Linked DNA regions of Rhinolophus ferrumequinum. The protein of the gene in region 2 binds, or shares a complex with, the protein of the main gene of each other region. Links are inferred from orthologs where the notes say so. Each region holds a gene or a part of one and is shown on either strand. Other genes may lie near its edges.

Region 1 (7,215 bases), on a different chromosome or scaffold from region 2:
GGAAAACAAATACTCTGTCAGTCTCTCTGGCTTTTGTGTTCCAAAAGAGAAAGCCCTAGAGAAGGGGGATTAGGGTGCAGGGGCAGAGACGAAGTATCTGGGCCAGAAAAGTAAAAGGAAGAAAGATTTGCACAAGCTTATAAAAAGATTCTTCTCTTTCTCACTCCTCTCTTCTTGGGGAGAAGAGGCAGAGGGAGCTCTGTGGGAGCTCAAGCAGCATACACTCCCAGAAGCAACCTTTGGTTGGTAGGAAGAGTCAAGAGAGGACGGGCTGTGTGGAATGTCTAGGCAGATGGACCAACAGGTGACCTTGGCAATGAGTTCTGTGTCCTAAGTGTGGCAGAGCTGTTGGAGAGGACCACAGCACTTGAAAGAACCCAGGTGGTTCGAGGGCTCATCAATAACTGACAAGATCTAAGGATATGCAAGTAGATACATTTATTCCACCCCCATGACTGGCCACTACATAAGATCACCAAACTATGGCATCACCTGGGATAGGAAAATGAAAGTCAAGAATAATTTATATTGTTTCCCCAATAACCTGGTAAAAGGAGGGATCAGGGTCAAAAACTGAGTTCCAGAAATGGGTACAACTCTACCCATGGCTGTGGTAGTCAGCTGACTCTCAACTTTGAGGTTCATTTTGGTTCCATTTTCATTGAAGGAGTTACCATCCTGTGTAGTCCGGAGAAGATGAACAGCTAGCAAGGCCATGAAACTAACCCCCACCCCCATTCCTGTGGGATGCTAGGGTCTAAAAATGGATCTAGTGAAGGCTTTTGTAATTTCTTGGCACCAGAGCCTTCAGATAAGATTAACTAGATTATTGGAAGAATGTTTTCCTGAAATAATGTAAAGCCAAATTACAAGTGGTTAATGTAAGTCGAATTTTTTTTTTTTAACATTTTATTGGGGAAGGGGAACAGGACTTTATTGGGGAACAGTGTGCACTTCCAGGACTTTTTCCCAAGTCAAGTTGTTGTACTTTCAATCTTAGTTGTGGAGGGTGCCGTTCAGCTTCAAGTTGTTGTCCTTTCAATCTTAGTTGTGTCGGGCACAGCTCAGCTCCAGTTCCAGTTGTTAGTTGCAGGGGGTGCAGCCCACCATCCCCTGCGGGAGTCGAACCAGCAACCTTGTGGTTGAGAGGACACACTGCAACAAACTGAGCCATCCAGGAGCTCAGCGGCAGCTCAGCTCAAGGTGCCGTGTTCAATCTTAGTTGCAGGGGGCGCTGCCCACCATCCCTTGCGGGACTCGAGGAATCGAACCGGCAACCTTGTGGTTGAGAGCCCACTGGCCCATGTGGGAATCGAACCGGCAGCCTTCGGAGTTAGGAGCATGGAGCTCCAACCGCCTGAGCCACCAGGCTGGCCCGTAAGTCGAATTTTTTATTTGATGAATAGAAACAGCATACAAATGCCACTTGACAGTGGAAACCATTAGGTAAGAAGGGAATGTTCTCTGCTGTTCGTTGTTGACTAGCTACAAGTATAATTGCCCACTCCCCTTTCTGCCCATAGTGACATTTGTGTTGAGTTGTAGACAGGTTGTTTCAAACAGAAGAGCACATATGTCAATAAAAGGCCTAAATTGAGAAGGGCGTGTACTTGGATGGGGAGCAGACTTATTTGATTTTCTAATTTCTGAAGTTTATAAAAGTCACACTACTTTGTAGTTATTTAACAAATGTTTGACTGTCAAAGAGGTACTCAAAGAGGAGTTCACATCTGAGCAGGTTGAGGGGCTAATGTTTCTAAATATTGTTCTGCATTGATTACATCATCAAGCTCAGAGACAAAGGAAGAGGAGCACGTCACAATTGCAGGAGGTATCTGTTGCTTTTTCTAAAGGTGGATGTATCATGTTTTCCCGAAAATAAGACCTAGCTGGACAATCAGCTCTAATGTGTCTTTTGGAGCAAAAATTAATGTAAGACCTGGTATATATTATATTACATTATATTATATAATATTATGTTAAAGACCCGGTCTTATATTATAGTAAAACAAGGCTGGGTCTTATATTAATTTTTGCTCCAAAAGATGCATTAGAGCTGATTGTCCCTCTAGATCTTATGTTTGGAGAAACACGGTATGTGGTGGTAGTGGGAGTAGGGTGACATTGAGAAATAAAAATAGTGGGTACAAGTTTCTAGTTACCATCTCAGTGGTAGTCAGGACCTACAAAGACTTGGAATGATTTGGTAGCCTTTGACACTGTCCTTGGGTGGTTATTTGGCTATGCTTCCCATTTTCCCCATGGTAGTCAATAATTCAACAGGGAAAAGGAAGTATCTTCAGAGGCAGTGGGGAAAGAAGGATTTGGGGAGATCCCATCCATTCTACAGCTAATTTGGAATGCAGAGACCTCTAAAGTAGAGTGGTAGGACTATTTGGAGAAACCATACCTTGGTCCTCCAAATTTAGCCAGGAAGGAAGATCTTCACCGGTGGAATAGCTGGACCCTATAACTCTGAATTTCATTGCCTCAGAGTTTCCCCCCATTGTCAAAATTTGGAGATGAGGGTTTGAATTTATTAAGGGCAAGGTCTGGTTCACTTGCATGTCTGGCAATACTGGGATTCAACAGCGACTTCCAAGAGGAAAGATGCAGAGACAAGAAACAGGGCCACCATTCCACTTGATTTGGACTATGGAAAGTTAAATTTAGTGATTGGTTTTTAAAGAGCTGAAAAGACTGAGGTTCTGAGGCCTACAGTAAGAAAAGAAAAAAAACGTGTTGGAGAGAGGAGAGATTGACCGAACTCAGTGATAGGGCCTGGAAGCTGGGCAGTTGAACATGTTAGCCTGGCATTTTCCAGCCTCCTACTCTCAAGTCATCCTGCTAAGTCTTGTGGGGCATTGGGAAAGAAATCCTGCCCTTAAGGAGCTTTCATTCAGGGGCTGTGACACCAGATGCACCCTGGGCGATTGAAACATGCTTGGGCTCAGGAGTGAGCACACCTGGGTTCAAGTTCTGACTCCTTGATACATAGTTATGTGAACTTGAGCAAATCATGTCTATTTTCCCCTCCTGACCCTCAGTTTCCTCTTCTGTGGAGCCAGGATTGTTCATGTGAGAATGACAGAAACAATTCTGTATTGCGCCTGACACAGGGCAGGAAGCAGTTCTTAAACAAAGCTGCTACGCCGAGGTTAACATGCAGTGAAAGCTCCAAGGAGGTAGCATTTATACCAACTAGAGGATCTGGAAGGTGGATGGTAGGAGATGGTGAGAGCCAGCCTCAGGGGGAGGTGGCCTTTCCGCATGCGCGCATTCTAGGAGCCCTGCGGAGCAGTGACGGGGCGGGGCCAGGTTTCTGAAGGGGTTGCTATGGCACCGAGGGGCCAGGGGAGGTTAACCAAACCCTTAAAACCTTACTCCCTCCCCCACCCGCCACCGTCTGGGCCGAGGGCCATTGTTCCCGGCAAAATGGCGTCGCTAATACCCCTCCCGGCAGGAGGTCTAAGTAAGGCTGAGGGTGGGAGTGGAACTGGAGGTGGGAACAAAAACTACAATTCCCAGGGTACACTGCACCTGCCCGCGAGGCGCAGGGCACGTGCCTAGGCCTAGTGGTTACAAGCCGTCAAAAATCCGTTTCATAGCTTCCCTTTCCCATCCCCGCTGTCGTTGTTGCCCAGCCCCCGCGCGCGCGCACTGCGGTCCTGGGGGGTGGGGGGGGACATACCGTGGCCGTTGCCCTCGCAACGTAACTGGGGGACCCGTATTTGTAAATCTGTGCTTCGACTTCTAATCCCAAAACCAGCAGGTATGGGTCTCGCGAGAAAAGTCAGGGATTGCAAAAAGGTAGTTTAGGGGTGGCGGGTGAAAAGGTGACGGCGGGTACCACATCTCGGCAGAGCTACCGCATTTAGAGGCATGTGGAAAACTGAGAATGGGCGGGGGGTGGCTAGGAAGTAGTGTGTGCTTGGACTTTTTTTTTTCTGAAAAGGGTAAAGCAGCTGTGGAGAGAGCTTTTGAACACACAGAAGGTGTCACGCGTGGCTCCTCACTGAGATTTTTCTTCTTGGAAAGGAGAGAAGCCTTTCTCCTCGAAGCGCATCCCTCTCTCCCGCTGCGCTGAAGAGGGCGGAGGAGGAGCGCGCACGCTCCAGTTGGCTAGCCACTGGGCCCCTCGCAGCGCTGGGGGCCGTTCTGAGTTGGGGCTGCTCTGTCAGCTTTCTCCGCCCCTCCCCCTCTCCTTTCCTCCCCTCCCTTCCCCGTCCCCCTCCGCCCCTCTCTTCTCTCCATCTGAATTCCCTGGCTGGAGTACGCGTGCGCCTGCTTAGCTCCCAGGCGAGCGCGAGCTTGGGCTCGTACCCCGCTCCCCCAACCCCGCCCGCTCTTTACCTACCCGCGGTAGCTGGCCCGGTGGGCTCGCGGGGAGACGCTCGCGCGCGCACGCGCACACGACACGGAGCAGAGCTCCAGACATTCAGGAGGAGAGTAAGAAGCATCCGAGAAGGCGATAGAGGAGGAGGAGGTGTGTGTGTATGTGTGTGTTCTACGGTGTCGCTCGTCGAGGGGCGACCCGAGGCTTGAAAGAAGGCGAAGGAGAAGCGAAAAGAGTCAGAGTCTCCCTCTGCGAGAGCCCCTAATCTGGTGAGGGTCCCGGGCCAGCCGGGGCACTAGGAGAGAGGGAGGAGGCCGGGGGGCGTGTCTGGGATCAGGCTGCGAGATGAATGGGCCGGGGATGAATGGAGGGAGGCAGCGGCGGCCAAGAGTCTGTTAGAGGAGTAAGCGCCCTAGTGGGGGGCGGTTTGACCGAGGCGGGGTGATTGCAGTCACCAAGAGGTATGGGACGATGGGACGAGGCCGGGCTCCAGTCTTCGGGGTTGTCGGAGCTGTTGTCGGTGCGAGCGAACGGGCAGAGAGGAAAATTCAGAGGGGAGAAGTGGGGAAGGGCAGGTTTGAGGATGAGGTGCATTTTTTGTCTTTTTTTGTTTTTGTTGGGGGGTGGCAACTTTGGGAGTTGATGGAAGACTAGGGGACGGGGAAGGTGCGGAGAATACTTGAGGGGGGCGGGAGACAGTTGACAAAGGACTGAGTGATCATTTAAGTGAGATTGAGGCTACTGAAAGGAAAGATCGCTTCGGGTGTGGGAAGTTGAGTTTCAGTGGGTATTGGGGTGGGGGAAAGTAGATTTAATTGAGAGATTCAATTGCTGTGTGAAGGTCGGTAGGACTGGATCCGGGTGAAGAATAGTGCTGGCTGGTTGTGTCCATGGGTTATGTTCAAGGAGATTGAGAGGTGTTACTTGGGACGAGTGGTGTGTTCTGTGGCCGACAGGTTGGGAATGGGGAGGAGATTACCATCTGTATGATGGGGTTAGGATAAAAGTGGTGAGCTGGCTTCACTGTACTGAAAGAGGTTTTGTTTGACTAGTTAAGAGTGGTGAAACATTTATGTAGTGGGGTGTGGGTGGAAATCCTGCACGTGTGTGTCTCATGTCTTGGAAGTTGATAGATCTTGTTAAAATCGAACCCTCAAAACGTGGGAATGGTATGGCTATTCCTTCATAAGACTTACTGTTGACTCAAGCAATTATATGAATAATAGCCTTTAAAGTTGTGCAGATCTTCTGTACAGTAGTGATTGCATCCAATTTTGTGAGGCATTGTTACCTGTTTTTCATCTATAGTAAATTGTAATGCTAAGAGAACTTTTGAAGAGGTTTCAATATATGACACAGAGTAGCAGGTTTCTTCTAGACAGTCTCTACCCTTTGGATTGATGAGTGTAAAAATTGTTTAGACTTAACAGTCCAAAAAAAAGTTACTTCGCATTAAAGGATAGCTAAAATGCACAAAAGCTGATTTTGAATGCTAAAATAATTATACATATTTTTTTTGTCATAATGAATTTACCTTGTTTGAAAATTGGCGCTTGCATTTTGGTATGTTTCCAGCAGATTAAGATTACTTGGACATTCTGTTTTTTAAATACATTACTTATCATTTGGTAAGGATGTCTTGTGATAGTCTCATTGTGTTCTGAATCAAGATTAATAGTATATGGATTTTTTTAACTTTATCGACATATATTCATTTATCTTGGAAATGTTGCAAATTTGAGAACATTCTTATTCCCTTTTCCTTTTATTCTGCTTTGATGTTGGAAAGAATGTAATCCTTGTTTTGGCTACCCAGAGTTTAAATACAAAAGTTAATACTATGTTCATATTCTCTTAGATTAAGATGAATACTTAGTGTATTAAGTGGTAGAGTAGAAGTATGAAAGCACTGTGGGAGCCTGGAAAAAAGTTGCACTGACTCTGGCAGGCAAGGTAGTCTCCCAGTTTTGAACTAGGTGTTCCTGGACTGGAAGAACATTCAAGTATTGAGGCTGGAAAGTTTAAGCATGGTATATTTGGGGAGTGGAATGAGATAAGGCTGGAATCTTAGATTGAGGCTGGGGTGAAGGGCTACCCTGCAGAGTTAGCAGCCCTTAACTGTTTATTAAGAAGAGGAATAACTTAAGCAGATTTGTGTTCATCTCACCGCCTTTACTTCTGATGCACCCCCATCCCCCAACCTGGAATGCTCTCTTGCCTCCTCCCTTTGAATTTGAACTCATTCTTTTTAGATTAATCTCTGCCATTAGCTATTCTTGAAAGCCTTTCCTGTTTTCCTCTTTTTTCCTTTCCCCAGCATCCTACACCAAGCTACGTTAGGTGCCCCTGTTTCGTGGTCCCAATACACCTTGTACGTATTTTTACTATCATACTTCTGTTGGGAGGCAGGCAGGAAAGTTATTTTCGTTTTTATACCTAGAACAGAAAGTAAAGCTTAGAAAAATAAGACTCGCCCTAGAAGTCGTAGACCCCTTGTTAAGGTCTATGCTAACGGTCTCTTACACCCTGAAGTTCCTACTTCTAGACCAATGCTGATCCTCACATCACAAGTCGACACTCGTTGAAGTAATTATTCTGTAGTGTTTTAGGAGTTAGATTTCTGTAATGTGAACTTCAACTTTCTTCTGTAGAGGGATTTCTTTTCATTACAGTGTCGCATCATTTAGCCAGTAAATGATAAAGCCAGTGGTTGCAATGAACCAGTCTCAAGTAAAGAAAATGATAACTGTTATATTGCTGTCGGATTGCTAATCAGGTAATTTACTTTAAAAATAATTAACGGAAGGCCTAAATTTTTGCGTATATGTATGGGGAGCGGGGTTGTGTGCAAGAAAACCCCTTCCTTTCTCAGTCTCCCA
Region 2 (7,884 bases):
TGAGCATGGAATATCTTTCCATTTATTTGTGTCTTTATTATTTTTTTCCATTAATGTCTTATAGTTTTCAATATATAGGTCTTGCACCTCCTTGGTTAAATTCATTTCTAAGTATTTTATTTTTAATGCAATTTTAAATATGATACTTTTATTTCTCTTTCTGATAGTTTGTTGTTAGTGTATGGAAACACAACAGATTTTTGCATATTGATTTTATATTTTGCAACTTTATTTATTAGTTCTAACAAGAGGACGGAACTCTTCCAAACTCATTTTATGATGCCAATATACCAATGATACCAATACCAGAGAAGGACACCACAAGAAAAGAAAATTACAGGCCAATTTCCCTGATGAACAACTAAAATCCTCAACTAAATACTAGCAAACCAAATTCAGCATCACATTAAAAGAGTCATTCACTGTGAACAAGTGGGATTTATCCCTGGGAAGCAGGATGGTTCAACATATGCAAATCAATCAACGTGATACATCACATTGACAAAATGAAGGATGAAAATCATAGCATCATCTCAATCAGTAGATGCAGAAAAAGCATTTGACAAAATTCAACATTCATGATAAAAACTCTCAACAAAGTGCATATAGAGGGAATGTACTTCAACATAATAAAACCCATATATGTCAAGCCTACAGCTACCGTGTTTCCCCGAAAATAAGACCTAGCCAGACCATCAGGGTCTATTAATATAAGACCCGGTATTATATTATATTATATTATATTATATTATATTATATTATATTATATTATATTATATTATATATTATATTACATTAAAGACCCAGTGTTATATTATAGTGAAATAAGACCGGGTCTTATATTAATTTTTGCTCCAAAAGACGCATTAGAGCTGATGGTCCGGCTAGGTCTTATTTTTGGGGAAACAGGGTAACATCATAGTCAACGATGAAAAGCTGAAAGAAAGCCTTTCCTCTAAGATCAGGAACAAGACAAAGTTGCCACTCTTTTTACTTTATTCAACATAATATTGGAAGTCCTAGCCAGAGCAAGAAAAAGAAATAGAAGATACCCAAGTTTGAAAGGAAGAAGTTAAACTATCACTGTTTACAGATGATGTGATATTATACGTAGACCCTAAAGACTTCATAAAAAACCTGTTAGAACTAGTAAAAGAATCCAGTAAAGTTGCACAATACAAAAGAAATATGTAAAAATCTGTGGCATTTTCATATACCTCACATTTAAAACAAATAATAGTCCCTTCTCACAGGGTTGTTGTGAGGATGAAAGAAGATGGGTACGAGTCAAGTCTTGAGTACAGAGCCTGGCCCAGAGCACGTAGAAAAGGGACCGGAGCTGTTATTGCAGTTGAAGGGGTATTGTATTGTCTTAAAGATGAGGGACGTGAAGCACTTTGTACGCTTTGAAACACAACACAAATACCATGGGTGATTGATTATTCCCTTGAATCTCCTCAGGGCATGGGTCCTTCCACCCTCAGAGGAGGAGTCCTGAGGGAAGCCAGACATTACTCTGGATAAGGTGCTAGTCTGTGTACTGTTTGACTTTTGAGCCTCAAGTTCATGTTCAGTTTCTGCCTGGCTTCCTGGCCTGGGGGCATTCTAAGCAGCTATAGGGCGAGTCTACTAAGCAGCTCTAGGGAGAGTGGTCCAGAATCTGAGGGGAAGTTTTGGTGATACAGATGTGGGTGGGCCTTACTTAATTCAGCTCTGGTTTTGCCTAGTCCTGGGTGACCTGTTGGTAATAGTGACTGCTGGAGATGTGGAAATGGCTTCAGGGGAGGCCCTCCTGGCACAAGTTACTCTGGTTGACTTTCTTGTTTACCTGAGAATCAAGGACTCACAGAGCTATAGTTTGGTAGCATTGGCATAGGCAATGCAAATAGTAGCTGCTAATGGTTACTGAGTGCTTATTACAGGCCAGGCTCTCTGCTAAGTGCTTTATATACTTTCACATTGAAACCTAACAGCCCTGGGAAGGTAGGTATTATTATTATCTCCTTTATACAGATGAGAAAATTGAGACTTGTAAAGTAACTTCCCTGGAGTCATGTTTTGGACCTTGGTCTGCCTGATTCTAATAGATCTTTTCATTGTCCTAAGTGATCTTTGCATTTAGTCGTGCTTTAGAGTCACCTGTGAAGTTCATTCAAATTCTTGCTCCTTGGGCCTTAACTCCATAGGTGTGAGGTGGAATATGGTCCTGTAGTGCATTTATTTCCCCCGATTTAGTGAGGTATAATTTACATAAAATAAAATTCACCCACTTGAAGTGTCTAGTTTGATGAAATGTAGTAGTTGTATATAATTGTGTATCACCACAGTCAAGATATGAAACATTTCCATAACCCTAAAGAGTTTCTTGTGCCTTTTGATCCCCTGATGCCTGCAGTAGTTATCAGCTGGGCAGAAGGTTCTGTTGCACAGCCAGGTGTAGGACCACTCTGCTGCGTTATGGTGCCTGCAAATATGAGGAACTGAAGTCCTGGAGGAGGAGGAGGAGGATAAAAGCAAGAGAAGAAGGAAAAAGACACTGAAAAGGAAGAATGATTGGCCTGTTTCTAGATAAGCTATGTTGTACTAGCTACTTGTGGAGAGAGGGAGGGTGGAGAGGAGAACTTTCTAGACCAAATCCACTTAAAAAAACAAACAACAGCAAAGTTTCTTCCCCTACTATGGTGTCTTCCTGAGCCACATAGACCTGAAGGATTCTGAACAAAGTTGATGTGGATGGCTGGGTATGTTGCTTTGGGATGGAGTGGTGGGGCCCCTGGGTACTATTGGTAAGCTGCGGGAGGGACCCTGGGAAGGGGGAGGAGGGCAGGAAGGGGGTAAGGCACTATTGCTAGGCATCCCAACGATAGGACCTCTTCCTCCAAGCAGACACTACTGACCTGGGTTCCTTTGGCTTCCCTCTACTGCAAGAATCTAGTGGCAACTCTTCTTAATCTGAAATCCATTTAGGACAGTTAGCCTAGAGTCAACAGGTTCAGGCTGTGACCCAGAGAACATTTGGATAATAAGGTAGAAAATGTAAACCGTAGCTCTGAAACTAGAGAAGATTAGGATGGGAGCTTTGTGCCAAGAGTCTGGAGACTTTGATTCTTGGCTTAGCTCTGACCCTGATTTTATTAGATGGCCATCTTGGTGCTCTTCTCTGAGTTGTCTCTGTTCTGTATACCTCTTGTGGTTTGAGTGGTGAATAAAGTGTGCAGGTGGTGGCGGTGTGGTTCCAACACATACATTGTAGTGAGGGCAAAAGCAGGTTGCAAAGGAAATTCTGTGAAATTTTAAACTGGCTCTTAATGGCTGTGTATTAAAACCTGAATATGCTCAGCCCTTAAGTATTTCCTTTCCTGGCCTTTTTTTTTCTTTCTTTTTTCTTGTTTGTTAGATGTGACATTTCCCCCTTTTCTTGTATGGTGGAGTTGTGAATGAGGGTATGAAGTTGTGAAAGAGACTCATCTAATTATGTCCCTTCTATGAATCACCCAGTTGTCTTCCTGGTGGGTGCCTGTACTCTGGCACATATTCTGGGATTCGGTTTCCTTATTTGTGATGTTCAGCTTCTGGTTGCTGTGATTCACCTCAAGAGGAAATATCTGGAGTAGAGCCACAGGCTGATTAGAGGAGGAAGGGGACAGAGAGGGCAAAGACATGAGGAGTATTGTTGTGAAAGGAAGAAGTGTAAACACAGGACTTGGGTGGGGGGGTGGCGAGCGGTAAAGAAAATCACCCAGGCCTCTTCTCACTTGAGAAAGAGTGAATTTGGGCAATGGCTGCATCTAAGAGGACACTGCGATGTAGGGAGATAATCTTTGAGAATGACACCCTCGCCAGTTTGAGTTCTGCTGGTTATAGAAAGGTGATAAAAAGTTTAACTTTCTATTAACGTCAGTGTCCCTCCTTCCCCACTTGGTTTTAGGGGTTTATAGCAGTGAAGAAACTTTAACAGGTCAAAATTATAACAATAGTAGATGTACTGAGCATCTCTTGTACTTCAATATGTGTCATGTCATCCTACCTGAAGCCCCCCCACAAAAATCTAGAGTCCAGTAAAATTTTCTTCTTAAACAACCTTACAGATTAATGAGAAGAAAAATGGAGCATTGAAGACATTTTTAGAATCATGTTATTTTAGAGCTGAAGGGGACTCTAGAGGTTTCTGGTTGGACCCTGTCTTGTGGATGAAGAACTGAGGTCCAGAGCAAGGAAAAGACTTGCCGAAAGTCACTCAGATAGCTCGTGGTAGCCCGCGTGGATCCTGATAAGCGCAGGTGTTTCCTGGAGGGTCCCAGCCTGGAGGTGCTCACGGATGATTTTCTGAGGCATCAGGGAAACCCCCAAACCCATTTTTGTGGCTAACCAACCATCAGTGCTGATTGCCTCAATGGCCGCTAAGCCTCTTGGCTGTGGCGAGGAGACAGACTGGCCTCTTGGCTTTCCCAAGATTAGGTATGAGAGTTCAGTTAGTCCAAATGGAGTCTCGGCAGCTGGAGATCACAGGGTGTGAGAGATCTTCAGCTGGAAATGGGGGAATCAGTGGGAGACTAACTAGTTAGAGACACAGCTTAAGTCAAATTTCAACAGGACAGACTTCAGGAAGGTATTTTAGGTTTGTGCTATGGCATTGGTGGTCTTTCAGTACGTCGGAGGGAGATAAATGCCTGCAGTATTTACTGTGATGGCTTTACGGCAATCGTCTTTGGTCTTGTGCCATAAAATCGGGTTTGTTTCAATTGCACCTATTTTTACCAGTTTCCCCCCTTTTCTAATTTCTCTCTGCATTTTTCTCAGTTTAATCAGGCTCTTTCCCCCTAACTCCCCCTCTCTCTATCAGATTCTCAGAGCTACTGCGGATTTTGGGAGGAGGAATTGGACCGTGAGCGGTGACCTACAAGTCAATTTCCCCAGGTGGATAAACTCCTCTGCAAGCCACAGAGGGGCCTCCTCATTCCAGCAATCCGGCGGGGCTGACAGACTCATTCGTGGCCTGTGGGGGCAGGGCAGGAGGTGGGGGCCAATGTTTCCTGGGCTAGTGAGGAGCTGCCAGAGCCTTTGCAGTCTAGGCAGAGGAGACGGGAGCCCCTGGGGTGGGCCAGTCGCCTGGACCGGGGATGCCTGCGCAGATGTGGAGGCAGCTGGAAAGGTGGCAGTGCACTGGGGTTGCGGGAGCTGCGCTGTTCCTAGGAGACGGAGCAGCCAGCCTGCGGGGGAGGGGGAGCAAGTGGGTTGCTGCTTTTAGCAGCTGAAAGGGCTGCAGGGAGCTCTGGGTAAGACATTTTCTGCTGCTGCTGCTTCTGCGGTAGAAGCTGCCGCTAGTAAGTCAGAGGAAGGAGGATCGAGAGGGAGGAGGCTTCATTTGCAGCCATGCTGAATCACTGTTGCTGATCAGGTCTCCCGCTGGTTGGCTGCCAGACTGAGAACAGAGCTAGGATCCCTGGGTGCATGCACAGTTCAGCAGCTGCCACCCCCGCTGGGCCTCGCACAATGGAGGGTGAAAGGTATGTATGTATGTGTGTGTTGTGTTGTGTGTGAGTATGTGTGTAAGTAAATGTGTGCTCTCGGGGCAGCCACCAGCTTTTGTGTTTGCGTTGGCTAGGCAGGGTCCGAAGACCTGGCCACTGCTGGATCCCCGTGGGCAGCAGAGTAGAGCCGGGAAGCCCCTTTCTCCAGAGACCTAGCTTCCGCAAAGGCAGGTCTGGGTTTGCTGGGCAGCGGAGCACCCTGAAAGAAGGGACTTCCTGGCTGGTGTTTGGTAATAGTTTCAGCACGGGCTGAATCAGGATTGCCTTTCTCAGGCTGTTTCAAGGAGGCGTTTCCCTTTCCTGGCTACTTTCCCGGGGTGTTTTTTCTTTGGTGGGGGGTTTTTTGATGTCATAGCAGGGCTGGCCTGGCATAGAGTGATTGCGTTTTCACATTGAATTGCTCAAATCTTCAGCAATCATGCCATGCTGATGTCTTTCCTAAAAGTGTGTGCGTGTGTGCGTGTGTACGTGTGTGTGCGTGCGTGTTCCTATATACACGCACAAGTTCAAGTAAGAAGGAGAGAAACCTGTCAGATGATACTTGCTTTGAACTGATTTCCATTTGCATTGAAAAGTTTATAAATGTTACTGGAAGGTATGTGCTTGAGAGGAACTCTTGCTTCTTCTACCAGGGGTTTCTTATGAAATAGGAATCAACAGAAGGGAATTTAAGTACTTTTGTTGAGCTGGATCTTACTAGCAAGGGTTTGTTTCCTGGCAGGCACATGCATGTCAATTTTAAACTGTTATCTGAGGATCTGCTGCTTTCATTGTGAAGGTGCTCAGTGCAGTGCAAGGGCAGGTCATTCCTCCCTCTTTGTGTTAAAACATCTCCTCATGTTGGGCCAGCCTCTTCATTCTGTGGATCTGCGGCTGGGAAAGAACAAGGCTTGCCATTTTCCTTGAGGTGAGAAGAGAGCAGGGAGGGGTCAGGCCATGGAAGCCTCCAGTGGGAGGAGGGCGGCTGCTCTGAGCTGCCAGTCTGATGCAGATGGTAACCGGCTGGTTACATGATAACAGGTTTAACTAAATCAACACTGTCTAGAGAGAACCTCAGTAAACACTTGCCTTTGCGTGGATTCTCCCAACTCTTGCATCTCATGCTGCAGAATGACGTCATTAAAGATCTCTAGATCCCATTAGAACTGGTATGATTTTTGGGGCCCCAGGGACTGTGTTTCTTGATGTGACTCCCACAGGCAGAGTCTGGGACTTTTCAGACTGAGTGTGCTGCTGGTCTATCCTCTCCCTGGGTGCTCTTTGTAGCAGGAGCTGTGTTGGACTCCATGTGGCCTGTTTCCTAGGCTTGGGGCAGACGTGGGCAGTGTCTTCACCTTCTCCTATTGGCCTGGTAGCTAGCAGAAGGGCACGGGTGATGTGAATGGAGGTTTAGAGATTCTGGACCAGGCCTGTCTTCTTGACCCACGTTATAGCAGGGCTACAAGATCCATGTGAGACCAGCAGCAGCAGCAGTTCCAAGGACTGCTTCCCACGCATTTTGGGCCCCAAATGTGTTCCCAGTACTGTGTTCAGAAATGTAATGAGTCCTTGCCCTCAAGAAGCCGTCTCGTTCTTTAGTGCTCTGGTGACTCAGCTGGGATGGCTGATGTCTTTGGCTTTATAACACCTGATTTTTGCACACGTTCTTTTGCTTTTCCCTTTTGGAGACAGAGACTAGGCAAGAAATCCAAACTGAGCAACTTCCCACATTCACCAGGTCATTCAGCTTACTGCATTTTGTTTCCACTCCAAGGCCAGCTTACTGTGCCAGGCATTCGTCTTCTTCTGAAGTCTGCCTCTAGTCTCCAGTCCCTCTCATAGGCTCACCCATACCCCACCAAGGGGTCTACTGGTCTCTTGTGGTCACCCATCCCGTATTCAACTCCATCCAGCCTCAGATCCTTATCTTCCAGAGTTCCTTTTTCCTGCAATGCCTTTTCCTTCCTCTTTTCCAAAAAGTTATCCATCTATCAAGTTTTAAAATTCTTTATCCAAGAAATCTCAGCTTTTCTAGTCCTGGCTGGTGTTCATATGAATTTCAATACCTCTAGTTTGTATCTCATAGTTGGATACTGAATAATAGGCCCACCCACAAAGTCTTTTTGTGCTTTTGTTTCATATATCGTATAAGTCCCCAAACTTGGAGATAGGTCCTCAAGGACGATACCTGTACCTCTGAATACTCCTCGTTGCCTACTGTGTGACTGCACGCGCAGTAGGTGCTGGATAACTATTTGCTGATTAGCTGATAACTTCTGCGAGAAGCTCTGATAACTAAAAAGAAAGTTGGTGAGAGAGAAGATTGAAGCCTTTGGCCAATGGGTTCATCCTTGGATATCGGCCTTATTATCTC

The links.
Region 1: the proteins of KLHL3 (region 2) and WNK3 are in contact, whole or in part, in a crystal structure (PDB 5NKP), measured with the Homo sapiens proteins. The link is inferred for Rhinolophus ferrumequinum from reciprocal best matches to the Homo sapiens genes KLHL3 and WNK3. Residues at the interface, in NP_059111.2 of Homo sapiens: Lys312, Arg339, Phe355, Gly357, Arg360, Thr386, Phe402, Gly404, Ser405, Gly407, Ser432, Ser433, Tyr449, Gly451, Arg454, Cys456, Ser481, His498, Arg528, Tyr577; in NP_065973.2 of Homo sapiens: Glu537, Cys538, Glu539, Glu540, Thr541, Glu542, Val543, Asp544, Gln545, His546.

The regions. Positions count from the first base shown.
Region 1 is NC_046284.1:81,495,881-81,503,095, forward strand, and holds the start of WNK3 (serine/threonine-protein kinase WNK3), read left to right. Parts: upstream 1-4,209; 5' UTR 4,210-4,605; intron 4,606-4,807; exon of another isoform or gene 4,808-4,911; intron 4,912-7,215.
Region 2 is NC_046307.1:12,975,333-12,983,216, reverse strand, and holds the start of KLHL3 (kelch-like protein 3), read left to right. Parts: upstream 1-4,873; 5' UTR 4,874-4,917; intron 4,918-5,039; exon of another isoform or gene 5,040-5,152; intron 5,153-5,214; exon of another isoform or gene 5,215-5,398; 5' UTR 5,399-5,451; coding exon 5,452-5,507; intron 5,508-7,884. UniProt on the Homo sapiens protein: Substrate-specific adapter of a BCR (BTB-CUL3-RBX1) E3 ubiquitin ligase complex that acts as a regulator of ion transport in the distal nephron.